Rattus norvegicus: one gene and its partners. The protein of the gene in region 7 interacts with the protein of the main gene of each other region in a pairwise test. Links are inferred from orthologs where the notes say so. Each region holds a gene or a part of one and is shown on either strand. Other genes may lie near its edges. The genes, in order: Ssna1, Pnma1, Obi1, Atxn1, Csrnp1, Rad54b and Tceanc.

Evidence for each region.
Region 1: the proteins of Tceanc (region 7) and Ssna1 interact in binary tests that used the Homo sapiens proteins (3 or more experiments, as listed by UniProt). The two-hybrid records come from large-scale screens. The link is inferred for Rattus norvegicus from reciprocal best matches to the Homo sapiens genes TCEANC and SSNA1.
Region 2: the proteins of Tceanc (region 7) and Pnma1 interact in binary tests that used the Homo sapiens proteins (3 or more experiments, as listed by UniProt). The two-hybrid records come from large-scale screens. The link is inferred for Rattus norvegicus from reciprocal best matches to the Homo sapiens genes TCEANC and PNMA1.
Region 3: the proteins of Tceanc (region 7) and Obi1 interact in binary tests that used the Homo sapiens proteins (3 or more experiments, as listed by UniProt). The two-hybrid records come from large-scale screens. The link is inferred for Rattus norvegicus from reciprocal best matches to the Homo sapiens genes TCEANC and OBI1.
Region 4: the proteins of Tceanc (region 7) and Atxn1 interact in binary tests that used the Homo sapiens proteins (3 or more experiments, as listed by UniProt). The link is inferred for Rattus norvegicus from reciprocal best matches to the Homo sapiens genes TCEANC and ATXN1.
Region 5: the proteins of Tceanc (region 7) and Csrnp1 interact in binary tests that used the Homo sapiens proteins (3 or more experiments, as listed by UniProt). The two-hybrid records come from large-scale screens. The link is inferred for Rattus norvegicus from reciprocal best matches to the Homo sapiens genes TCEANC and CSRNP1.
Region 6: the proteins of Tceanc (region 7) and Rad54b interact in a two-hybrid assay, tested with the Homo sapiens proteins (2 studies listed by BioGRID). The two-hybrid records come from large-scale screens. The link is inferred for Rattus norvegicus from reciprocal best matches to the Homo sapiens genes TCEANC and RAD54B.

The regions. Positions count from the first base shown.
Region 1 is NC_086021.1:28,482,607-28,485,716, forward strand, and holds Ssna1 (microtubule nucleation factor SSNA1), read right to left. Parts: upstream 1,966-3,110; 5' UTR 1,860-1,965; coding exon 1,808-1,859; intron 1,635-1,807; coding exon 1,435-1,634; intron 1,072-1,434; coding exon 964-1,071; 3' UTR 501-963; downstream 1-500. Other genes in the region: Anapc2 (anaphase-promoting complex subunit 2), read left to right, coding at 2,027-2,185, 2,422-3,044. UniProt on the Homo sapiens protein: Microtubule-binding protein which stabilizes dynamic microtubules by slowing growth and shrinkage at both plus and minus ends and serves as a sensor of microtubule damage, protecting microtubules from the microtubule-severing enzyme SPAST.
Region 2 is NC_086024.1:109,512,882-109,516,604, forward strand, and holds Pnma1 (paraneoplastic antigen Ma1 homolog), read right to left. Parts: upstream 2,287-3,723; 5' UTR 1,793-2,286; coding exon 731-1,792; 3' UTR 501-730; downstream 1-500.
Region 3 is NC_086033.1:87,706,343-87,709,842, forward strand, and holds part of Obi1 (ORC ubiquitin ligase 1), read right to left. Parts: intron 2,550-3,500; coding exon 2,458-2,549; intron 703-2,457; coding exon 454-702; intron 1-453. UniProt on the Homo sapiens protein: E3 ubiquitin ligase essential for DNA replication origin activation during S phase.
Region 4 is NC_086035.1:18,942,294-18,946,568, forward strand, and holds the start of Atxn1 (ataxin-1), read left to right. Parts: upstream 1-1,475; 5' UTR 1,476-1,668; intron 1,669-1,725; exon of another isoform or gene 1,726-1,879; intron 1,880-2,816; exon of another isoform or gene 2,817-2,958; intron 2,959-2,994; exon of another isoform or gene 2,995-3,196; intron 3,197-3,356; exon of another isoform or gene 3,357-4,275. UniProt on the Homo sapiens protein: Chromatin-binding factor that repress Notch signaling in the absence of Notch intracellular domain by acting as a CBF1 corepressor. Binds to the HEY promoter and might assist, along with NCOR2, RBPJ-mediated repression. Binds RNA in vitro.
Region 5 is NC_086026.1:128,585,670-128,589,940, reverse strand, and holds the start of Csrnp1 (cysteine/serine-rich nuclear protein 1), read left to right. Parts: upstream 1-1,471; 5' UTR 1,472-1,541; intron 1,542-1,614; coding exon of another isoform or gene 1,615-1,654; coding exon 1,655-1,850; intron 1,851-4,271. UniProt on the Homo sapiens protein: Binds to the consensus sequence 5'-AGAGTG-3' and has transcriptional activator activity. May have a tumor-suppressor function. May play a role in apoptosis.
Region 6 is NC_086023.1:29,867,465-29,870,964, forward strand, and holds part of Rad54b (fibrinogen silencer-binding protein), read left to right. Parts: intron 1-1,079; coding exon 1,080-1,274; intron 1,275-3,484; coding exon 3,485-3,500. UniProt on the Homo sapiens protein: Involved in DNA repair and mitotic recombination. May play an active role in recombination processes in concert with other members of the RAD52 epistasis group.
Region 7 is NC_086039.1:31,587,849-31,590,889, forward strand, and holds Tceanc (transcription elongation factor A N-terminal and central domain-containing protein), read left to right. Parts: upstream 1-1,464; coding exon 1,465-2,541; downstream 2,542-3,041.

The DNA of each region.
Region 1 (3,110 bases), on a different chromosome or scaffold from region 7:
ACTGGTTTACAGTTTACTATGCTCACTTGAATAGCCTTGAACTTAAGGCTTCTTCCTCAACGAAGGGATGATAGGTGAAAACTACCACAGCTGTTTTCTGGATCTTCTTGGTCAACAAATACTTCCAAACTTCCCCAGAAGCTGTGCAAAGGGCTGGGTCATAGGGCACATGGAAACAGGAAGTAAGCAACAATGTGGTTGGGAGATGGGTCCTGGCAGCAGCAGTGTATTGGACCAAACAGAACTTTGTACTGAGAGATGAACTGTCCCTGTCTCTATCTCTGAGCCAGGCTCTGTATTGAGTACCATTGTACAGCAAAGCCCCTCACAGAATAGTAGTTTGTGTGCTGAACTTGGGGAAATATCAGCAGCAGCTTTTCAAGGAAAGTTCCAGGCTAGGGCTGACCTGAGTGAGGTGAGAACTTTTAGCTCTGTGCTCTGAAGATAGGAGAGTCAGGGAAAAGCTGCAGGTCTTCCTCCTACCAACAGGACACATGGTAGCTGGCAGGCCATGCCACAGATCTTGCAAAACAACCTTTATTGAAACACCAGAGGTCATGGGGATGGGCCCTAAGGTTTTGGTTCTGGAGCCAAGATTCTTTCTTCAATATGCCTGGCCTGGGGCCCTAGTGGCTGAGGAGACAAAGTGAGGGGCTCCCACAGTACCTGGACTAGGACCGAGACATTCCTGGCAGCCCAAGGAGATACAGGAGCTTCAGAAAGAGGCTCCTCATGGAGCTGACCAGGAGCTCAAGGTTCCAATAACACATGTGAGTGCGGAGCTGGGAACACATCTTCCATTGGACTGTCCTGGGGCTTGTCTTGTCACTCAAGGCAGGTGGAGGTCAGAAATTGACACTCAGGGCACCAGAGATAAAAGACATCTGAGGCCATGGAGAACAAAGATGCTTTAGGACAGACATGTTGGGGAGCAGCCATAGGCCACGGCTGAGACAGGGCTTGTCAGCTGTCTTTGCCTCCACTACTCTTCTGGTCTGAAGCCGTGGCTTTAGTCAGGTTCCCAGCTTCTCTTTTGAGTACACTAAGCAGAGTCTGAGAGCTCTCCAGGATCTGGGGCCAGAGAAATAGAAGGATGTTATTTCTCTGGTAAGAAGATTCCCACTGCCTCAGCCTCTGATAGTGGAGGATGGGAATCTCAGTCTGGCCATCTGTGCTGAGTCAACGGGTTATGGAGGATGGTGGGGGCAATAAAATTATCCTCCCTCCTGCACCTGTCCCAGAGCTCTTCCACCCTGCAAAGCCAGGCTGAGTTAGTTCACCCACCACTATGGTACTCTGTCCAGCACACCACTGCTCACTCTCTTGGATCCCACAAACAGCCCACTGTCCGGCCTACAGCCTCTGAACCACAATGGGCCCTACCTAGCCTCAGATGGTAGTGAGGCACTGACAACGCATATCTGAGAGCCCCACCTTGAGGTAGGCGGCCTCTGTCTCCGCAATGGTCCGGTCAAACTCGTTGCGAGAGGCGATCTTGCGCGCCAGGTTCTCGTTGACGCGGGCCAATTTCTCCGTGAGCTGCCTCACCTCATTCTGTAGCCGCTGCTTTTCGTCCTCCTCCTGCTGGATCTGCCGGCACAGCTCCTCTCGTTTCTGACACAACTCTTCGATGCCTAGGGTGGGCGGGAAGACAGAGCTGTAGGTTGGGGCTCGTGAACTTCGGACCCCGACCAGCACGACAGAGGGGAGGCCGCAGAGCGGAGCTCGTGAGGCATGTCGACGCAGCCTCCCGAGTGTGTGGGTTGGCCGGCCCCCGGCCCCGCGGCCTTCAGCGCCCGACGCTCACACTTGACCAACTCGTTGTTGTAGTTCTGCAGCGCCGCGCCCTGTTGGGTCATGGTCGGCACCGCGTCCGTAAGCCTCAACCGCCGCCTGCACCGCCAAGCCCGCGCCTGCGCACTGCCTACACAGCGCGCGCGAGCAAGCGAACGTCACGACTGCGCCACAGCCCGCGCTTGCGTCATCACCGTGCGCTACGCTGGGCGGGTCTGTTTTGTGGACAGTGATGGAGGCCGAGGGTGTGGCGGTATCGGTGGCGGCGGCGGCGGCGGCGACAACGACAATTGTCGCCACGGATGACTGCGACTCTAGGCCTGGACAGGAGCTCGTGGTTGCCTGGAATACTGTGAGCACCGGTCTGGTGCCGCCGGCTGCGCTGGGGCTGGTGAGGCCGGGGAAAGGTTGGCGGGCCTGTGCAGAGTTGCCACGACTTTGTCCTTTAGGGAGTCCATCCTTGGGTCCTCATAGCTCCCGTGCTCTGCCCGTAGTGGGCTTGCCTCCTTCCTCAGCTATCTGATTTGTTTGGTTTCCTGGCAGCCCTTCGGCTGCTGTTTTTTTCCACACCCCTCCTCTCCTTTTACCCCTGTTCCGCCCCTCTGCTCACGGTTTTCCGTGCTCCAGGCATCTTCCCGGACCAGCGGTGCAGTTCCACCAAAGGAGGAAGAGCTTCGTGCAGCGGTAGAAGTTCTGAGGGCCCACGGTCTGCACTCTGTCCTGGAGGAGTGGTTCGTGGAAGTGCTGCAGAATGACCTTCAAGGCAACATTGCCACGGAGTTCTGGAATGCCATCTCCCTTCGCGAAAACTCTGTCGATGAACCCCAATGCCTTGTGCTGCTCCTGGATGCGTTCGGTCTGCTGGAAAGCCGCTTGGATCCCTATCTGCATAGCCTAGAACTCCTAGAGAAATGGACTCGTCTGGGCTTGCTGATGGGCGCTGGAGCTCAGGGTCTTCGGGAGAAAGTTCACACTATGTTGCGGGGAGTCCTGTTTTTTTCCACCCCTAGGACATTCCAGGAGATGGTCCAGCGCCTCTATGGTCGTTTCCTGAGAGTCTATATGCAGAGCAAGAGAAAAGGAGAAGGGGGCACAGATCCAGAACTAGAGGGAGAGCTGGACAGCCGGTATGCCCGCCGCAGGTACTACCGACTTTTGCAGAGCCCTCTGTGTGCAGGATGTGGCAGTGACAAGCAGCAGTGCTGGTGCCGGCAGGCCCTGGAGCAGTTCAACCAGCTCAGCCAGGTCCTGTAAGTACTGCTTCCTGGCCATGCCTCAGTTTCTTTAAAAAGATCTCTGAATAGAGCTAATAAACT
Region 2 (3,723 bases), on a different chromosome or scaffold from region 7:
GCATGTCAGGAAAAAAGAGAATTTTCAAATTTTTTTTGTATCCATCTATTCAATAACTTCAAACTTAGAACCCTTAGCATCAATATGACCAATAATGACAAATATTTGAAGTGAGGAAGTGTAGCTTGTCCAGGGCCATTCCCCCTATGACTTACATCTGTATCTTCCACTGTGAAGGATTTATTGTGCACTCTATAAAAACACATCTTTCTAACCCGCCACTTCTAATCTGGGGATACTTTTCAGGGAAACTGATTCCAGTGTTGAGCCACGAGGAATTAGAAATCTGCATTTTCAAGATGAGTAATATCTAAAAGTCGCATTCTTTCCATGGATACAAATTAGCAACAATTTACAGTAAAGCTGTCCACAGTGTTAGTAACAAATAAATACAAGAGTTTGTAGTGTACAGCCTGTGAACCGGGCATGTACTTAGCATCAGAACTTGCAGTTTCACAAACATCGTGACAGGAAGGATCGCAGCTTCATGTTTCTCACAGCTGTCAGAGATGTCACCAGGAGGGCTGGCATCACTGTAGCACTATGAACCGCCTTTACTCCTGCTAATTACACAATTCTGTGAATGCTACAGGAATATGCGGGCCTGACTTTCTCATCCCATTCCTCAGAAAACAAAACAAAGGCAGGAGGAGGCTGGCTGTTTACTTTAAGGGACAGGCTTACTAAAACTTCACAGGAATATCAAAAGCAGCCTGGCCAGTCCTGGGATTCAGAAGTGCCCCTCTAGGCCTAGCTGCAAAAGGGCAGCCTCGGCCTCCTCCTCCTCCTCTTTGGCTTCCTCCTCTCGAATCTGCACCAGTAACTGGAAGAGGTTGGGTGCAGGCCCTTCTGTAGCCCCAGTCAGCCACAACTGCCTTCGGAGGGCCCCGCTGTGGTTGGCCCCAGCGATGACCTGTTCCAGGCGAGCCTGGTTCACGTTATCTTTATCAATGGCCCCCTTGTCCACTACCTTTTGCAGCAGAGGCTCCAGACGGATAACGTAAGAAGATAACTTTTCTCCTGGGTTTTGGTAAGTGTTCAGAAATCTGACCTGTGCATCTCTAGAGCTCTCCACGCTCCCAAACACCTGCTCAAGAGCCTTCAGGCATTCTGCCGTGGTTATAGCAGGGTTGTTGGTCTTGAGGATGCGAATGACATCGGCAGCCGGGCCTCGCAAACTCTCCATCAACCGCCGTCTCTTTTCTATATCAGACACCTGCCATTCCTCTATGACTTCATTCGAGTGCTCCAGCCAGGAATCAAAGGTCTCCTCGCCAGGCCCGGGAATGTCCCTCCCGGAGAACAAAGTCAGCTTCTTATACCATATGGACTCAACAAGAGGTTGAATAACATTATCCAAAATATAGTTGAGCATCTCTGCTGGCATTTCCGGGCCTGGGGCTGGAGCAGGGTTCTGAAACCCAAGCACACGAGCAACATCTTGCACCGTCCACCCTTCCCTAGCTAGAAAGAGGTGCAGCCTTTCCAAAAACTCCGCGTCGGAAGTGGGGGGCTTAAACACTACTTTCCAGAGCCCTCCTTTGCCTGGCATCTCCCTGGGGATCAGGGAGTAATCCACCGTCCCAGTGAGCTCTAACAAGGCTGCTTTCGCATTTTCTTCCCTCCAGAACATTCTCCCCAGTACTCGATAGGATACCTGGGGCATCGCAGCTTGGAGGGTCTCTTCGATTTCGGTCTCATCACAGTTCACAGGGATCCCCCAGACCAACAGAGCTCTCTGAGAGTTCACATCCATTCCCCTGCACCAGTCTTCCAATAGTGTCATAGCCATTTCGCCCAACTATTAAGAGTGCCAGTTCTACAGACTGTGCTTGGACTGGCTCACGGTGCTGCTGTTGGGCTTAGGACAACATGCTCTCCTCCCCCGGTAGGCCAGGGGGCGACAAGCTTCAAGCAACCACAATTACCAAAAGACACCAGAGTTCCTTCTGGTCCCTTCCGGGTCCCAAGTCAGTGCCACGGGACACTCCGCCTATCACTCGAATGTCGCCCTTTTGGTCCGGGCAGGAGTGGACTGGCTGCGGCTGTGCCTTGCGTCACTGCTTTGAGAAGGGGAGGAAGGTGGGCTCAAGGCGGTTGGCTGCGGGCTGGAGATGACTGGGTGCGGTCGCGGGGCGTGGCAGCTCCTCCCACCTCTCCCTGGCCCGCGGGCGGCCGAGGGTTACTCGAGGCCGTGGCTCAGCTACACCGAGAGAGGCGGCACTCGAAGCACCGGGGACTGAGGCGGCAGGAAGCGCGAAGGAGGGAGGAACCGGGCTGGAGGCAGCTCTGCTCAGCGCTTATGGCCGCGCGCTCCAGCAACGGCCTCCGTGCAGCTGCACTGGAGGGCGGAACCGGTCCGCTCGCCTCCCCCAGTGTCACCGTGACAACTGTGTCCATGACGACGCGAGATGCGCGGGCTCCAGAGGATCTGGCGGTTGCTATGGTGCCAAGAAGGGGTTTGAGTAGTCTATTCTATGATGGTGCATTTCTTTTTACCCCTCCCCCATACTCGTACTTCCCAGATTCCTCCTTAACAATATTGCTAAGCATGTTTTGTTTTATTTAATTTTGCTGTGGATTTAAGTTGGCCTTATTGATACGCATCTACCACGACGGACTTGTCTCATATCCATTCTATGCATTCACTCTGCTGTGAAAACACTAAATCTGACTTCCGTGAACCACCAGATTACAGTCTGCAGCTTCTCCGTTCCTCCCCATAAGACTAGAAAAGAGGATTCCACCTACTGGTTCCTTTGAGTGTCTGACTTGGCTTTCTTGTCCAAAATTTGTGTGTGTGTGTGTGTGTGTGTGTGTGTGTGTGTGTGTGTGTGTCAAAACCTAAAGTTTGTGTGTGTGTGCACACCCTCCCCCCCACCGGATTACTTCTCTTTGTAGCCAAGCAAACTTCTTGTCCTTACTGAGTATACAGGATAGCAAAACAGACCGCTTAAGGCTCAGAAAGGGAGAAGTTCCCTATCAGTCAGTCCCAGCTGGCAAAAACACCCCTATAAGAACATGGCATTCAACAATGACTTTTTTAAAACCTTATTTAATAAAAGGTCTTAAGATACAGAACATTCAAAAGTAAATAAGTTACATGGGTACATTACAATCACATCCGCAAGATTCTCTTTAGTGTATTAATTTTTTTTATAAAAAGCACACAAAAAATAAAATTTTCGGTCTGGTCTATCACAACTGTACACAAAGAGGTAATATTTATATATATGTACACTATTTAATATGTAACAGTCTTTTTTAAAAAGAGTGCCACAGGCAACAAACACATGAAAGGCAGTGTCTGACCATTTTGTTTCAAAATAAAAGGAATATACTTACTTTATGCTATTAAAATATCTGTACAATAATTACAGTCAAGGCTGTTTCTGTGCTGTCCTCTCCAACAAGGCCTTTAATTTAAGAGACAAATGAAGAAGAGCTCTAACAGCTGCAAATTTTTTTTTTGAGGAAACAAACACAGCCAAATGTGGGTTAGACACAACTGTTTTTTTTATAAAAATATGCATACTTCCTGTAAAAACCTAAGGGTTTAGGCTTTGCCAGTCTAGTAATAAATAACAACCCAGAAAAGTGAGCCCCAATAAAAACACTTAAACAGCTGAGGCTGGAGTATGTGTTGTACTCTTCCCCTCCATCTTTAACATCTGGCACATGAGAAGAAAGAGGTTAGGTGACTGAGGCAGTTAAATATAGGCA
Region 3 (3,500 bases), on a different chromosome or scaffold from region 7:
GGGTGGCTAGTTTGAGGCCAGCTTGGGCTCCATATCTAGGTCCAGACAAGCCTGGGCTATATAGTAAGAACTTGCCTCAAAACTCAAGCAAACACGTGTTTCTTTGCTAAGTAGTAATGGATCATGATTGTTAATGCACATAAGGCAGAGAGCACAGAGAAGGGGAGCTCCCTGTCCTTTCGACAGACACAGCTCCTCCACTTTGGTGTGGAGGCAACTACTGTATCTGCAGTTATAGTCACAGATGCATCCACCCCATGCTTCCTGGCCGCTAATGACAGCTAACGAGAATCCGTCCTCCTGCTGCATACCAATAATTACCCACGGCTCAGTCCTGCTCTCGCAAACTAGCTAATGGTGAGTCAGGCGGCTATTTATACTTGTGAAAGTGCTTAAAATATTATAGAACTAAAAATAATCACAATTGATTCCCCTCCCCAGACTACAACTTACCTCTTTTAACTTATCCACATCATCTTTAACTTTTTCATATATTTCATTGGCTGTTCTGAGTTTTTTCTTCCATTCTACTACTGATTCTGGGTCAATTTTACTTGGATTATCGGCCATTGGATGTTTGTCTTCGTTTTGACTGCCCTGCATCAAGGCTAAAGGATCCAGAATGGTCTTGATCTGTGACTCCAAGCTGAGATTTTTACTTTTAAGTTCTTCTACCTCTTTCTGCAAACAATCTATTTCATCCTAAAAAAGTGCAGAAGTCAATAATCAGATACAGATGAATGGCTTGTACATGCTAAGCCAGACTCGATTTGTTCTTGACTATTACACTCAAATTTTTATAAATACATGGGGATTTATATATAGTAAAAGTTTTGTTCAATTTAGATTTTTTTAAAGATTTATTCATTTATTATATATAAGTACACTGTAGCTGTCTTCAGACACACCAGAAGAGGGCATCCGATCCCATTACAGATGGTTGTGAGCCACCATGTGGTTGCTGGGAATTGAACTCAGGACCTCTGGAAGAGCAGTCGGGGCTCTTAACTACTGAGCCATCTCTCCAGCCCCCTCAATTTAGATTCTTAAAATGTATGTTGACCCTCACAAACATTGGCACAACACTTACTTAAAATGCTTACATTTTAATTCACAGACAGCTCTGGTTTAAAAAAAAAAGTTACAATCCTTTAATTTTGTGTAAGGTTTCATCAAGAAACTATGAAAAAACATGAATTTCAATAAAAAGTAGATTCCAATTCATAAGGAACATTTCAAGCATGTTAATTACTTTATAGAGAGAAATTTTAAAGTGTTGGTCAAAAGAGTCAATCAGAATTTTGTTTGATATTTTTCTTTTTGCTTCTATATCTGAAGTAGAAATAAAATCCTTCCTCTTTTCATCCCAGATTAATACCAACAGTGGGTCTTCAACCACTAGTCAGAGCTATTCCAAAATCTGCTATTCTACTCTGGAGCTGCTGTTCTTGAATGCAATTGCAAATATTTGGGATAGATTCTTCTGTGTAATACCATTTATGCATCTATAATGAACACAGCACCTTAATCTGAGACTTAAAGAGTCTATCAGAAAATAAAATCTAAGTTACTCCAAATGTCAGGGCTTGTCTGAATGCCCGCCCCATCTCCTGCTGAAATGCAGCTGCCATTGTGCCATTAAAGGGGGCGTACAACTAGAGCGCCGTGTTCTCTGTAGTCCTGTCTGTCCTTGAACTCAGTAGGTAGACCTGGGATTCCCAGAGACCTGCCTGCGCCTTCCTCCCAAGCACTGGAGTTGAGGGTGTGTGCCACTCCACCCAGCATAAGCAGCTGTGCTCTTTAAACTGATACAGTGGTGAATAAACACGCATGCATTTACACACTCGTCACTGTGGAAAGCACATGCAGGGAAGAACATTTACTCCATCACTTATACTCCAGCAGAAAAAAAAGCTGTCTGAGGCAACTGAGGTAGCTCACAACAAGCTGTAACTCCAGTTCCAGGGGACACAACCCCCTCTCCTGGCCTTGAGCACCTGGTACTCAACTGGTGCATAGGCACACATGCAAACAAAACATACGCAAAGACAAGAAGCATAAATTAAAAATTAATTCTAAAGAAAAGAAAGAAAAAAGTTTTCCATTCCTTTCTTTTCTCTGAAATCCTAGTCTCTCATTCTTTACTTAAATAAAATCATTCCTCTATTTAAAAGAGAAAAGGGAGAATTAATCAAATCTGTGTAGACTGGCACTGCAGGCTTCAGACCGGGCATGGTGGTGAACGTGTGTAATCTGAGCACTTAGAGAGCAGAGGCAGGAGAATCACAAGGCCCTCAAAAACCAAACAATCCCTGATGCCAACCCAGTCCCCCAAGAAAGGACCTGAGGGGACCCACACAGTTTCCTAGTTCTTGGCTCTCGCTGTGCAGACACTTAGAGCAGCCCTACCTCCAGCTCCTGAGGGGACCTCGAGCAAGGCGGCGCGGGCACACTCACCTCATACTCCCTGTGGAGCAACTCCAGCCGGGTCCTGCGCAGGTGCCTTCTCACAGTGTGGCTCAGCATGGGCTCGCTCTCACTGGTTCCTCCTGCACAGGAAAATCTCACTGTGGCTTTGTTTGGGCACAATGGACATCAGCCCTTTTCTTTTCTCATACTGTGTTACAAAGCTTCCCCGATAACCCCAGAAATAAAGTTTACACGAGTGAGGTTGGAGCGCTGGTCCAGTTAAAGATAATGTGGAGCCAATTAAGGTTTAAAAACATTAATGCCAAATTAGGCCGTGAGAGGAGTTTCAAACAGGAGCGGAAGCAGCACATTCAGACTCGGGGTGTTCTGCTTTTACTTCAGGGGCTACACTTCTGTTTTTCCTTAGTAAACATTAAACAGGAGTCTGTAAGTAGCCATAGGTGGACAATATGTTTCAGAAAACTTCATAAGTAGTTGTAGTGATCTAAAATTAGGGGGAATTGTCTGTCTGTGATAGAAATGGAAAGAAAGATTCCTGATTGAGTGCAAAAGACAGGGACTTTGGGGTCATTTGGGCCTTTCCCTTCCTTAACCCTGAGGAGACTCCATTAGCCAGCAGTCTAAGAAATACCTTCAGGAAAACATATTGCACTTGCATCACAGCATAACAAAGTCAATGGAAGAAAGGGCTACGTAGGGCTAAGTTACCAATCTTGAATATAGCAAACCTAAAAACAACTGTTAAACAAGAAAGCCAATCACTATATTTATATTTAAACAGACTATACAAGATTGGTGTGTGTGTGTACACACACACACACCAACCAGGAAATTAAAACAAGAACAAGTCTGGGTACTGGTGACACAACTGTCACAGGTTTTGATGACCAGTTACAATGGACTGACTCTCAGCATTAGCTTTGTACCCTGACTTGTAAGAAACACATTCAATATGAATTATTTCAGAGAGTTCTGAACTAATCCTGGGCTTACTGCCTTTGTAGTTAGCAGGATTATAGCAAACAAACAAACAAACAAACCAAAATAAAACAAACCAAAAAAACCAAAAA
Region 4 (4,275 bases), on a different chromosome or scaffold from region 7:
ACACACACACACACACACACACACGGCATTTCTTTTTTAACTTCTGAAGTGCGGGCTCCACAATACAGTAGTTTAAAAGCTCACACGTTTCTCTCGGTGACTCTGTACGCTGCTTCAGATAGTGACTAACTGTTAGGTCCTACGTAAACTGAGCCAAAAGGTCTCTCAAATCCAGCTACAGTCAATAGTAGTGGCTTCCAGCGAGACCAAGGGATCAAGTTTCCAGACTCTTAGTTTTAAGCACCTGAAAGAGGTCAGATGCTGGCCTGACACCTACTGGTCTTCAAGAATTATCTGCAGCAAAGAGATCGCCACACCGAGCGACCCTCCTGGGGAGGTGCGGGCTCTTCCTTCGGATGCCACACCTGTTGGCAAGGTGCACTCCTCCGGAGAAGATTCCTTCCCACGGAGCTCACACCCGGCTGAGGTGTAGCCGGAGGGGGCGGGTGGGGACTCCGCGTCTGCGTTTAGCCACCGGGCCAAGGTGGGAAGTTCTTTCGCCTTGGATTCCCGAGAACCACCATCCACTGCTCAGTGCACGGGTTACCTCACTTGAGATGAGATGAATGGTCCACAGTTAGCTGTGAGGAGTGAGCAGCAGTTCGGTTACCAGGGCTAGAGCTGAGACGTTCGATGCTCATAGCAGATTTCTAGACCAGCAGAATTTGAAAGGAGGCCCAGGAGGTCGCCAGCTTGTCCAGGCAGGAAAGGTGAGGGTGCCGGTGCAAGCTGGGGAAGCCTGAGAACTTTCCGGAGTTGCAAGCCAAGGCAGAAGGCACCGGCCTAGCATCGGGTGGCTCAGGACTGGCGGGCTGGCTAGTTAACCGCGGGGATACAAAGAGTCCTCTTAGATGCTCACCAGGGGCACCCTGGGTGCTTCGTAATTAGAATCAGCCGACTTCCCCGCCCCCTTGGGTATTTTACCAGGTGGGAGTCAAAGCCTGACACCCGTTGCTCTGAGTCTCCCAGGTTGCCTGAGTTGCACCCTGCACTCACCCTGTCCCCCTCCAACTAGGTTGCAGGGAGCCGGGGAGGCGCGCGAGCACCGATCGGTCACCACTCCAATGACCTCATCGCCCCAACTTCCCCGCCCCTTTCTCAAACCTGGAAGGCACAGTTCCCTCCGGTCGGTGTCCGGGATCTGGAGTCGCAGTTGCGGAGAGACACCCGGCCTCCCCTGGAGCGAGCGCTGCCCCAGCCCGGGTGCATAGAAGGGTTAAGGGCGCGGGCCGGCAGCCGCGCCGTGCGCTCGCCGTGCTCTGTGCGGCTCGCCGGGCCGCCTGCCAGAGGGTGCCTCTCCCCCCCCCCCCCCCCATGAAGTCGGATCCTTGAGCTGCGGCGGCGGCAGCCAACTGCTCCATATTTGGCTTCTATTACACATTTACATACTGGAGCGAGCGAGCGAGCGCGAGAGAGAGCGCGAGGGAGGGAGGGCGGGCGGAGGGAGGAGGGAGGGGAGGGGGGAGGAGGAGGAGGAGGAGAGAGCAGAGTATACCGCAGACATCATTTCTACTACAGTGGAGGAGCCGTACAGGACCTGTTTCACTGCAGGGGGATCCAAAACAAGCCCCGTGGAGCCGCAGCTAGAGCTACAACAGCCGCAGGACACTGTGTCTCTCCCTCTGTTCCCCCTTCCCCACGCAACCCCAGATCCATTTACACTTTACAGTAAGTGGCTATTTTTTTTCCTCCTCTGATTCTTTCTCTCCCCCCTCCCCCTCCCCCCGATTTAGATTAAAATCACCTCCTCCCGCACCCCAATCCGCTCTCTCCGGAGAGGGGGCCAAAGAAACATCCAGCATAAAACCCCCCTCCCCCAGTCTCAATGGGCTGCACGGAAAACAGCTGGAAGAGGAGCGAAGGAAACCGACGCGTCGTGGTGTGTGTGTGTGTGTGTGTGTGTGTGTGTGTGTGTGTGTGTGTGTGTGTGTGTGTGTGTGGTGTGTGTGCAGGCGCGCGCGAGTGTATGTGTGACTGTGTACATACACCAGTGCCCGGCTCCTGCCTCCCGGCTCGGGACCCCCACTGGGAGCAGGAGCGGCTAGCAAGGGGAGCAGCTAGGGGCTGGGTGGGCGGCCGCCAGGAGAGGGGGCGCGCCCGGGCGGGGGGCGCGGGTGGGGAGAACGGCGGCGCCCCGCTCCGGCTGCTGCTGGTCCGGCGGCGGCGAGCGCATAGAGCCCCGTCCTCCTCCTTCCGTGTGGCGTAGGGGGAGGCGGCAGCCGCGGAGGGTCGCGCTGCCCTCTTCACTCCTCAACAGCCCCCCTCCCGAGTGGGGGCGGCGAGCGCTGCGGGGGCTCGAGGGAGGGCTGGGCTTCCCCGCCCGGGGTCGCCTAGCTTGAGAGAGGCAACCCCGAGCTTGGGGTCTCCCCGCCCAGGCCAGCGTCTCGGGGCCAGGAGGGGACCTAGAGGGGACTTGCAGGAGGCTCGGGGGCGCGGAGAGGTGGCGGCTCAGGGGGCAAGGGCACGCGGGCCATCGCAGCGCAGTGGGAGAGGCGACAGGGACCGGCCCTAGCTGCAGCCGCCACCGCCGCCCTGTTGGTGCGGCCGCTTCCTGATCCAAAGCAGCAGCAGCAGCAGCGGCAGCCGCCGCCACCGGAGCTGGAGCCGGGAGCCGGGAGCCGGGAGCCCGCGAGCGCCCCAGCTCGGCCCGGCGTCCCTGCCGGCGCCCGCGGCAGTAGCGGAGGAGCTGCGGGCGCTGCCCTGCGCCGGGACTGCTCTCCTGCGCGGCGGCAGGGAGGGTGAATGAAGACGGGAGGAGGGGAAGGAGGAGGCGGCGGCGGAGGAGGCGCTGCGGGGATTGGGATGTGCCCCGGAGCCCCGCGGCTCGTTCACTCGGGGCCCGAGACGCCGCCACTGCCCGGGCTGCCGCCGCCGCCGCCGCCTCCTACGTGGTTGCAGCCGAGCGCGCAGGCCAGTCCCGCAGGGGGTAGGGAAGGGGCCGGACGGGCGGAGCGAGAGGTGAGGCGGGGTCGGAGAGCAGGGAGTAAGTGCGTGTGAGTGTGTAGGTGCGTGTGTGTGTGTGTGTGTGTGTGTGTGTGTGTGTGTGTGTGTGTGTGTGTGTGTGCGTGCGCGTGTGTTCGCGCGCCGGGCGGGGGGCCAGGACCATCGCGATGGGGAGTGGGGTCCACAGTGGTCCCTTAGCTGACTCTGCAGCCCTTCGACCTCTCTTTAGCCACCTCCTTCAACTCTGTGGCTTGTGAGCTTTCATTTTATTTCAGACCACGTAGAGAGCTGACTGCAAGCGGTGAAACAATTCAGGTTTTCTAGAGAGATTGAGCAAGGACCTTAGTGGTGGGGGGTGGAAGTAGGGTGCTGGTCTAGACTCTACCAGGGGCGCCGGGTGGGGGTGGGGGGCGGGGTGGGAGAATCAGGGTTCTAAGACGAAAGGGTTTAGTTCGATCCCGTGGCTGTCCTGTTTTGTTTTTGCTTTCTTGCTGTATAATCCTACAGATAAGAGGGTAATATAAATACTTGGGAAGGTTGGGAAATTGTTGAAGAGTAGTAAGGGCGGAAAAAAAAAGAGCCAGTCGGAAGCTGGTTATATAATGCGCTATGTGGCTAACAAGAAAGGCAAGCTATTTTTATTTTGTTTACCGTATGTTGTGCAGTAGGAACTCCTCCAAACTGGTTCTGTCCCCGAAGAGATTTCTTAGTTTGTCAGAGAGAGAGTCACAGGATACAATTAGTAAAATTAGAAGACCCCACACCACCTACAGAAGAAAAAGTAATGCTTTAGAGCTCTCACCTCACATCCTGCCTGGCATGCAGGGGAATGTGTGTATGTCCTATGTTTCCCTGTAGCAATCTAGTGGTGTCATCTCAGTGACATTTCTGTTTTATAATGCGAGCTCTTCTTAATATTTAAACAGCATTGCTATAGATCGTAGGCAACAAGGTAGTTACAGGCTGGGTATTTTTAGGTACAGCTGGTTACTTTTTGCAAGAGTGTTTGCTAAACCATTTCTGTGTGGCTTTTTGAAGAGCCCTGTCATTCCTAGAAGCCCTCGTTAAGCCTAAACCTCTGGTTTATTGATGGTGGGTGGGTAGCTGAGACAGTTTGATAGCCGAGGGTTTTATTTTTATTTTTATTTTATTTTTGAATGAAGCTTATGCCAGCGGAAGCTAGAGGTAGCCACCAGAGAGAGGAAAAACATGCACAAGCCCTCTTGGAAAGGGATTGCACCATAACAGCTTAACTGTGGCATTTAATCTCCTCTGATTGTCCTCTAACTGGCCACGCATCAGTCAATATTTTAGCAGCTTTGCAAATAAGTG
Region 5 (4,271 bases), on a different chromosome or scaffold from region 7:
TGTCTTTTTTTTCCCTCCATCTCCCCCACCCCCCATGCATTAGGCTGCAGTGGTGACAGGATGTTTAGGGGCTACCTGTCAACTTGTGTGTAAGAGTGTGTCTGTGGTAAGAGTGCTTGTGCACGTGTGTGTGGTGCCTGGTTCACGACCAAACACCCTCATCCTGGGAGAGTCTACAGGTTAACTGGGCTGTTTGTGTTTGTGGTTTGACACTGGGAAGCCTGGTAACCTAGCCTGAGAAACTGCCCCGGAAACACCTGCTTGGCCTCCCCCCCCCCCGGGGGGGGGGCTGGCCTGGTAGTAAGATTTTTCTTGAGCCTCTCCCATGTCTGCCTGGAGGAGATGGCTGTCACTCTCCCATGAGTGCTTTTATCCAGGGAGTTGTAGCTGGTGCCCTCGGATTTAGGACCTGCCAGAGGCTTGGACTAGGAGAGGGGACCTCAGGCTACCTCAGTGGAGGAGACCCAGACAGCTTTCTGCTTGGTTTCCCTGCCTCTTTCACTTCCCGTGATGATGGTGGGGGAAGGGTCCCAGCTGTGGGCATTCAACCCTGAATGAGTGAGTACCACAGACTCAAGCCAGCCTCACGGCAGGTAGCTGCACTCAGCCACCATCCTTGAACCCTCTGAGGGTCCCCAAGTCCTGGAAAGACTGTTACTTGTCCAAGCACTGGAGGGTTAGGGAAGGAGCCTGACTGGTGAGTGATTGCATCCTGGGGGGGTGGGGGTGTCCAGAGAAGCTACAAACGAGCAAGGGAAACAGGAGAGTGGAGAGCCACCTTCCTAGTCAGTTTCACTCTGAGGTTCTGCTTTGTTCTAAGGAGAATTAACCATAGAGGTTAGATATTGGAGGTGAGTTTAAGATCAAAGTCAAGTCTTCCCACAGTCCAGCCTAGAGCAGGGGACTTTTCTCCTGTGGCATGGGGGTTTCTGAGGGAAAATCTAAGCTCCATCTAGGGGGGAGGAGCTTGGGAAAGTCCTTCTGCTGGGAATGGAGCCAACATCAAAACCAGCGCCCATTCTCAGAGCTCCTGCCCAGCCTGGCCCAGGAGTGTGGACCCGAAGCTGTCAGTCAGCAAGGCGGTGGACCTGTGTGGTCAGAGAGGAGCGCTGCCCTTAGAGGGGGCCTCTGGAGATTGCAGAAGGCCCTGCACAGGCAAGTGCACAAAGATCTGAGCGCCTGTGAGTCAGCCTCCAGGGTTCCTGTGAAGATGAGCCAGGCCAGAGTTCTGTCAGTCCATCTGTTGGTCTGTCTGCCTGCTGGCGTGTGTGTGCGTGTGTGTGCTCGAGTGTGTGTGTGTGTGTGTGTGTGTGTGTGTGTGTGTAGGTGGCAATGGGGAAGGTACCTGGCTGTTTTCCATAGAAGACTTGTTATCAAGGGGCCAGGTCTTGGGAGGCCAAAGTCCCTGGGATTTGGATTTGCATGTTAGACTCATTTGAGGGAGGGGCTCATGTTAGACTCATTTGGGGCTGGAGACTGTACTGGAGACACTACCATGAACCCGGGCTGGAGGGTTCAGAGTCTGGGAGATACCCTGGAAGGTAAGTTGCGGGTGGAGAAAACATGGCTAGGCTGGGAGCCTACCACGGAACAGTTCCATCCTCTTCATTCCAGGCCGTCTGTCCTCAGCTGCTTGGAACCCCTACATCCCACCATGGCTGGGATACAGAAGAGGAAGTTTGACCAGCTGGAAGAGGACGACTGCAGCTCCTCCTCCTTGTCCTCTGGCGATCTCTCTCCCTCTCCTCCCAGCTCTTCTGCCTCCCCTGCCTGGACCTCTGAGGAGGAGGGACTGGGTGATCAGCCACCCCAGCCTGATCAGGACTCCAGTGGCATCCAGAGTTTAATGCGTGAGTCTCCTGTCCTGGGCACCCCCTACCACGCACCCCCCACCCCTAGCCCCCACCCCCTGCTTCTTCCTTCCCTAAGGCTGTAATTGGCCTTTTTGGCCTCCATAGCCCCCTCAGGGTACCTCCTTCTGTGAAGTCTTATGACTGTCCCACTCTGCAGAGGCACTTTGACTTCCTGTTGACTGTGGGGGTTGTGCTGTCGGAGATGTTGTTCCCTGAGTGGCTCTGGGGCCTTTCCAGGGGTGTTGCATCTCTGTTTCCCAACATACCTGCCCCTTCCAGGAAGCCCGCTGGGGCTCATCCTTCTCCTCACACACCCCACGAACACTGTACACTGGCCTGCTAGGCCACTTCCCTCTTCCTTGCTTTTTAGCTTTTTTCCCCCCCGAATGTCCCCAAAAGGGTTTTTCCTGAATAGTTTTCTTTTCACCCTTTATCTTATCTTATTTTAAGTTAAAAAAAAAAAAAGACTCTCTCTTCCAACCGCATGGCATCTGCCTCCGGAGTACAGGGGTTACGGATGCGCTCCGCTCCATCATGGCTGACTTCCTAGTTATCTTTCAAGCTTGTATAATTTTGATTTCAAACTGAAAGTGATTCTCTTTAAAAAAGGGTTTTTTTATTTTTGAAATTATAATTACACCATTTCCCCTATCCTTCCCTCTAAACCTTCCCATATATCTGTCCTTACCCTCTTTCCAACTCATGGTCTCTTTTTTATTATTGTTACATAAATATATAGAAATATATTTCTAAATATTGTACAAACCTGCCTTGTCTTTATAATGTAAAAACAGCCTTTGGGGCTGGAGAGATGACTCAATGGTTAAGGGCACTGGCTGCTCTTCCAGAGGTCCTGAGTTCAAATCCCAGCAACCACATGGTGGCTCACAACCATCTGTAATGGGATCTGATGCCCTCTTCTGGTGTGTCTGAAGACAGCAACAGAGTACTCAACATGCATAAAATAAATAATAAATCTTAAAAAAAAAAAAAAGACAGCCTTTGATTTTCAACAAGCTCTTTCTACTTCAAGAACCATTTTAAACAGTTTTCCCCTACAAGGGGAATGTTTTTAAGCACATCTCCCTGTGAAGTTTTGAAACCATAACTGTTCTGTTCATGTCTTATATGCATACCTGTGTGTTACACTTTTTTTTTGAAACAAGTGTGATTTTGTTAATGCCTGGAACCTAATATTACAAACAGAAAACCTTGTAGAAGGAATTTCCTCAGGTAGTTGAGTACAAAGTTAATATGTTAACTTGAAGTCACTCAGCATAGTGGCAAACACCTATATTCCCAGTACTGGGGAAGGGCTAGGGACTCAGTGTCTCCTGCTATAGAACCAGTCCTAGCCATCTTGAGATAAATGATGATGTATGCCTTTAATTCCAGTTCTTGAGAGACAAAACCTGGTGGGTCAAGGCCAATCTGGTCTACGTATCAAGTTCTAGGACAGTCTGTGTTATACAGTGAGACCCTGTCTCAAGAGAACGTAAACACGGGCCAAGATGGCACCGGAGAATCCTGCTCTTGCAGAGGACCTGAGTTTGGTCCTTCTCACCCACATCAGATCACTGACAACCACCTGTAGCTCCTAGTACTTGGGATCTGGCACTTTCTGAACTTCAAGAGCACCCACACCCAGGTGACATACACTCGCACACGCACTTAGTAAATTTGAGCCTGGGCAGTGGTGGCACATGGCCTTTAATCCCAGCACTCAGGAGGCAGAGGTGGGCAGATCTCTGAGTTCAAGGCCAGCCTGGTCTACAGAGTTAGTTCCAGAACAGCAGAGGCTACACAGAGAAACCCTGTCTTGGGGGGGGGGGGGAATCATGTACAAAAATAAGTTTGGAAACAACAACAACAATTAATGCCACTGGGGTGGCTCAACATGTAAAGGTGCTCTCGGCCAAGCCTGATGTTGGGTTCCTGAGTTCAAACCCACATGGTGGGAGAACCAGGTCCTACAACTTGTTATCCATATAATCAATAATTTCAGAGAGGGAGACAGACAGACAGATAGACAGACACATTCTGGGTCTGTTGCGGAACATTTAAAGTATAAAGGAAAAGGTCTATAATGTATGTCTATAGTGTATGAGTATTTTGCCTGTATATCCATGTACCACATGCATGTTATACCTGAGCAGGCCAGAAGAGGGCGTTAGATCTCCTGAAACTGAGTTCCTTGGCTGCGACCTCTCCTATGGGCACCAGGGCTCTTAACTGCGAGTCATTTCTCCAGTTCTTTGTTATACATTTAAACAGGGGATTATATTGTCTTTGCTACATGTAAAGAATTAAAATGAAAGAAAACTGTACAAAGGATTTATAAATTCATGGTCATGATAGCAAGATGCTTCCTCTTTGAATGCAGTTCTCTGGTCTGGTAGATGATAAGCCCGGGTTGGC
Region 6 (3,500 bases), on a different chromosome or scaffold from region 7:
TTGAGTTAGCAAAATTGCATTGGTTAGAAATAATGGATATGCTAGCCATGGTGGTGACACATGCCTTAATCCCAGCACTTGAGAGACAGAGGCAGGTAGATCTCTGAGAGATCAAGGCCAGCCTGGTCTACAAAGTAAGTTCTAGGATAGCTAGGGCTATTCAGAGAAACTCTTTCTTGAAAAACAAACAAAGTTTTATAATTTGTGGCCACACAGAATATGGAGGATATTATGTAAGTGAAATAAGCAACTGTAGGATTTCATTTGTATGTAATATCTATAAATGTTAAGTGAAAGGCAGAACATGGCAGCCACCAGGGAGGGGATGGGGTGGGATATGGGGGAGGTGTCAGTTAAGACATAATGTTTAAGTTGTACAACACGATATGTATAAATTTGTCAAATAAAATAAATGAAGGAAAAATAGAACTTTTTAATCTGAAAAAAAGAAAAAACTCTGTAAGCATATTTTTTACTCAGCTTGCCATGTTAATTAAAGCAGTCATTAAAATATAATTTTACATATTTCTAGACATTGGAATAGTAGCTTTAATTTCTAAGGTCCCAAGGTTTTTACAGTGATATGTTACACTATTTCAGTTGAATGTGTGTAGCTTATGGGTGACAGAGCATTGCACTCATTACACTCATGATAATGCTTGCACCCAGTATGTCGACTGCTCAGTTTCTTAAATACCAAAATGAACATGTCACATACTGAGTTGATTCTCTCCTACCACGTGTGTTCCTGGGACCAAACCACTTGTCAGGCTTAACAGTGGGCGCCTTTACTCCCTGAACCGGCCCACTGACCCAGATACTTTTATATTCTTTCTTAATGCATTCTGATTTCCTTGTGCATATAGTCATTATTGTTGTTATTATTATAGACAGACTCTTCAGACAGCATAGGTGTGACCTTGAACTGATCCTCTTGCCCCTACCGCCAGCATTCTGGGATTGCTGGTGGAACCCATGCCGTGGTATTGGTGTGCCGATTTGCTTTTGTTTGAATGAGCTTGATACTTAGAAATTAGTCATCCCCAATAATAATGTTTTAAATTTCCTTTTTATTTCAGTTCACTTGGCCTCTAAAGAAATCATAGAGTCCAAGGCACAAGAAGAGGAAGCTAGCAGCTTGCTTAAATATTTCAGTGTCGTTTGGTGTAAAGCTTCAAAGAAAAAACACAAGAAATGGGAAGGCGATGCTATTCTTATTGTAAAAGGAAGGTCGTTCATATTGAAAGATATGGAAGGAAAAGATATTGGAAGAGGTATTATGATATATGTTATTCGTATTTATGATTTGGTCAAAATATTAGTATATTTTTGGTGCCGTACAATTGAAACACAGTTGGGCTTGATAAAGGGACAGATTGAGATGTTATTTAATTGAATGTTGTGCCTCAACTTTGTATGATACATAATGTTTTTCATAATAGTGACCCAAATACTCTTATGAGCTATGCTAGTCCATTAGGGTACATTCTGTCCAGTTTTCTCTGAAGGGAGCCCACCAGCCTTAGCGGTCTTAGCACTCTTCTGAGACTGAGGCGTTTGTCTTGGTCATCCCCTCCCCCAGTGCTAAGTGATTGAAATTGTTAAGAGTGGCCATTAGTAGACATTTAGTGCTGTCCAGTTTCAGTACTACTCAATAAAAATTTCAAATACAGAATAAGGAGATCCACACAGCTAAGTTGGAGGGTGCCATTGTTTCAGAGTAACGTGTCCTAGTACAGAGCAGTCTGCAGGTCCAGAGTGTGTCACATGAGTGTTTTTATTTTGTCCTCTATTGTTTAGTTTTGAGTTTGGCCAGACTATAAAATCTTTTGTATATATTCGTTCACTCACGTAAGGATATAGTTTATAGTTTGTTTAATTTTCAGCTTATATGCTAGCTCCTAGGACTAAAGATTCAAAGTAAGAATAATTTATAGCTTTGTTAGGAGAAGTTACTGTAACTGATAGTTGGAAGTGGTGAGATAACTGTTTCAGTGAGAATTCCTGCTAGCTGGAATGTGACAGGGCCAGCTTTTCCATTGCTGCAACCAGGGAGGGCCAGCTGTGTTCAGCCCTCCAACATCAACTGGGTCACAGGCGACACCTCGGCCACAGTCATCTGTGTGACCTTTGGTAACATGGGCAGTGGATATGGACACAGACCCCTGCTGCTGCAGGCTGTGGATCCAGACATGGCCCTCGGCAGTAGGCCAGGACCCCACCATGGCCTCAGGGTGTTCCTCACCACCCTTGCATCCCCAGCCCCTTCTTTCTGTCTGCATTGTGCACATATCATTTTGCTTCTGTTTCCCTCCACCTCTGATTTTCCCACCTCTGGTACCTGGGGCCTCTGGGTGTCTTCTACCCCTCCATGACTTATAGCATGGTTAGGGGGCAGAGGTGGAGTAGGAATGGGTTTGGGGGGAGGTGGGGGGTGTTGTCTCAGTTGGGTTAATTTCTTAAATACTTTAAAAAACTTATCTACTTATTTATTTATCTCTTTTGTGTGTATGGGGGAGACCACACATGTGCAGTGGTGTATGTATGTGTGGAGGGAGGTTAGAAGACAACTTTTGGGAGTTGGCAAACTCTGGGCTAGCTTGCCCTAGAACTTTCAAGCAATTCTCCTGTTCCAGATTTTTCATCTTACCATAGGAGTGCTGGGAAGTGGGTGTGAGAGAGTTACTTCTTAGTTAAAAAGTACATATTGCTCTTCCCTTGACCTCAGTTGACTTTCCAGCACCTACATAGGTGCATATATTGTTTATATATAAGTAAATAATAAATCTTATAAAAAGTGCTGATATTATAGACACTACTGAATTAAAAAATATTTAGCTTTTTATTTATTTTTTTAATTTTATTTTTCTTGGATATTTTATGTATTTATATTTCAAATGTTATTCCCCTTTCCCCCTCACCCATAATCCCTCCCCACTCCCCCTGCTTCTATGAGGATGCTCCTATTCCCACTCACCCCCTCCCACCTCAGTGCCCTGGCATCCCCTACACTGGGGAAACAAGCTTCACAGGACCAAGGGCCTCTCCTCCTATTGGTACCAGACAATGCCGTCCTCTGCTACATGCAGTTGGAGCCATGGGTCCCTCCATGTGTGCTCTTTGGTTGGTGGTTTAATCCCTGGGAGCTTTGGGGGTCTGGTTGGTTGATGTTCTTCCTATGGGTTGCAAACACCTTCAGCTCCTTCAGTCCTTTCTCTAACTCCTCCATTCGGGGTACATTTGGCTTTTTAGTTTTGGGAATTAAACTTGAGTCATTAGGCTCGCTCACCTGGCATGTTGAGCTATTTTCTGGCTTTTTTTAAAAAAATCAGAATGATAAATTGTGTTTCTGTCTGATGAAATTTATATGTAATTTATATGCAGTGCATAATGTTTATTTTGTACAGTCATGGAAAGGTGGCTATTTTATTAATAAGTTTTCTTAGAATGTCAGTACAATTAATTGTTTCTGTTTTTCTTAAAGGCATTGGATATAAATT
Region 7 (3,041 bases):
CTCCAGTTCACTCTACCTGGGATGAGGCCCTAGCATTGCTTGATTTAGTTTTTGTTGACTTCCCTGGATGGTTCTGCTACACAGCCAGAAGTAAAAACTACCTGTGGTGATAACATGAAGCTATGTTTAGGGAGCTGTTGGAGCAAAGGCATACCTGTGAAATGGGGCCATGCCTGTGTGTGGTTGAGAGTGGTCAAGGCAGAGAGCCAGCCTGAGGTGTTATTCATCACTTCCACTCAGAGGCTCCATCCCATGGGTGGAGGGGATGGTCTCGGTCTGTCTGTCTCTTCTCTTCTCTTCTCTCTCTCTCTCTCTCTCTCTCTCTCTCTCTCTCTCTCTCTCTCTCTCTCACACACACACACACACACACACACAAGTTAATGAAGCCAAACTCTGCAAGGAAAACCATCTGTAACTCCAGTTCTAGGGGGCTCTGATACTTTCTTCTGGCTTCCACAGGTACTAGGTGGTACACATACATATAGACAGACAGGGAAAACATCCATACACATAAAATTACAAAAAAAAGAAAAGAATTTCCTTCAAAATTAATAAAGAAGACCCTATAATAGGAGAATTTCAAAAAAATACATATATATGGCATATGAATTTGTATAAAGGGAATGCTGGCATTATTTTTCACAACTTTTCTGTAAATCTAAAAGTATTTCCAAATAAAGAATAAGCAGGGCATCTGTATGTGACTCTGTTTTTCCAACAGCTCAAATGTCAGCACATTGAATCCTGTTGGATTTCAGGGTTCACTAGACCTGCTTCCCAACCTTTAATGCCCGTTTCTTTACATTGGTTCAGCCATTAACATCCCTCTTTTTTGTTTTGTTTCCTTTTTATACTAAAAAAGTACCACTACAAAGATTATAAAGCCATTAAGTATCTTAGTTCCTAGCTGATTATGAGAAGAAAATAGCTGAGTATTTGCTCAGCTTTGTCTTATGGAGGGATGCTCATGTGAACATGATTTTATACCCAAGATGATCATCACATTCTACCCAAGATTAGGCAGGGTCTCATGCATTCCAGACTAGCCTCAACTTTTCTGTGTGTGTCTAAAGATGGCAGTATATCCCTATTCCTGCTGACTCTACCCCACAAGTGCTAAGATTGCAAGCATATACCACCATGATAGCTTCCTGAATATTCTTAATCTAGATAGATACTGATTTGTACAGTTGGAGGTAGGAAAGTTATAGCTGATATTCTACAAAGTCTTTGAATGTTCTGCTTAAACTTTGCTGCGCCATTTTCCTTCTGTTGTTGAGAATAAAAGTCTTGAGAGTTGAGTAGTTCACATTACTGCGGTATCTACTTAGAGTACTCCTTCAGAAAACATCACATGAACAGCTGGCAGAAGTTCTAGTTTACTATTCAGCAGCTGCCGCTGGTAAAGGCAAGCTTAGAAAGATTGAACCATCTTTTTCTTTTTTTTTCTTTGCAGCTGTGAAAATGTCTGACAAGAACCAGATCATTGCCAGGGCTTCCTTGATTGAGCAACTGGTGTCTAAAAGGTATTTTGAGGATATTGGTAAACAGCTTACTGAGCTAGAAATGATTTATGTGTCTAAGGAGCATCTGCAGGAGACAGATGTGGTCAGAGCTGTTTACAGAGTCCTCAAAAACTGCCCATCAGTGACTTTAAAAAAGAAGGCCAAGTGTCTGCTGGCAAAGTGGAGAGGTTTCTATAAGAATACACACTTCAAAACAAGGGAAAGCCTTAAAGTACTCCATACAGATGTTAATAAGGAAGTAAGTGTTGCAGTTTCTCAGGATGAAAGCCAAGATGAGACACCAGGCTCTAGCCACAATGAGATATTGGGTCTCTGTAGTTCTCTCTCTAGGCTGTCACCCCAAGATGCTGCAAAGGCTGCTGCAGCATTTGGGTCTGAAAGTAGTGCTGCTCAAATGGAAATTAATGAAGGCTATTTGGAGGATGACTCTGAATCTCCGAGCAAGAGCTCAGGTGTGCTAGATAATCCCTTAGTGTCTGTGAGATCTAAGTGCATAGAACTTCTCTATAAAGCCTTAGCTAGTTCTTGCACAGATCACACAAAAGTTCACTTTTGGCAAAACTTAGCAAGACAAATTGAAGAGCACATTTTTACTCTTCATTCAAACGATATCAAAAAATATAAAAATAATATTCGAAGCAAAGTTGCCAATTTGAACAACCCCAGAAATTCTCATTTACAACAAAATTTGCTCTCTGGAACCATATCTGCAAGGGAATTTGCTGAAATGACTGTACTGGACATGGCAAACCAGGAGCTGAAGCAGTTGAGAGCTTCCTATATAGAATCCAGTATTCAGGAACATCACCTTCCCCAAATAGTTGATGGCACACACACAAATAAAATTAAGTGTAGGCGCTGTGATAAATACAACTGCACAGTCACTGTAATTGCCAGAGGAACACTTTTCCTTCCAAGTTGGGTGCAGAATTCAAACCCAGATGAACAAATGACCTATGTCATTTGTAATGAATGTGGGGAGCAGTGGTACCATAACGACTGGGTGTGCTTGTGATTTGTTAATAATCTTTTCAAGGACATATGTTTTAAATATAAAACATAACCTTCTGTGCTCGTTTTTCAACAAAATCTGAATCTTATTTTTGCCTTCGGGAGTTTGGTTTGTGAAAGACGTCAGTATATAGCCCAAGCTGGTCCATTCTCAGGAGTGCTTGCTTTACACCACACCTGCTTAATGCACTGTTCTTACTACAGTACTAAACCAAGGAGGGAGAGTTGTTTGCCAATGTGTAGGCCATAGAAGGCTATCACATTGTACTTTGTGGCCACTTAAGACTTGACTCAGAGTGGCACTGTGGCTCAACACAGCCTGAGAGCATGTTAGAGATGAAGACTCTTGCCTGGTGCTCCTTGAATCCTGATCTGTATTTTGGCAGAGTCTCCAAGTGATCCTCTGGGATACTTTGAGAATCACTGTGGTTCTCAGGAGTGACTATATATTAGAATTTTCTGAGAAGCATTGAAATGTACTGGTGCCAAGAGCCAAGCCCAGTG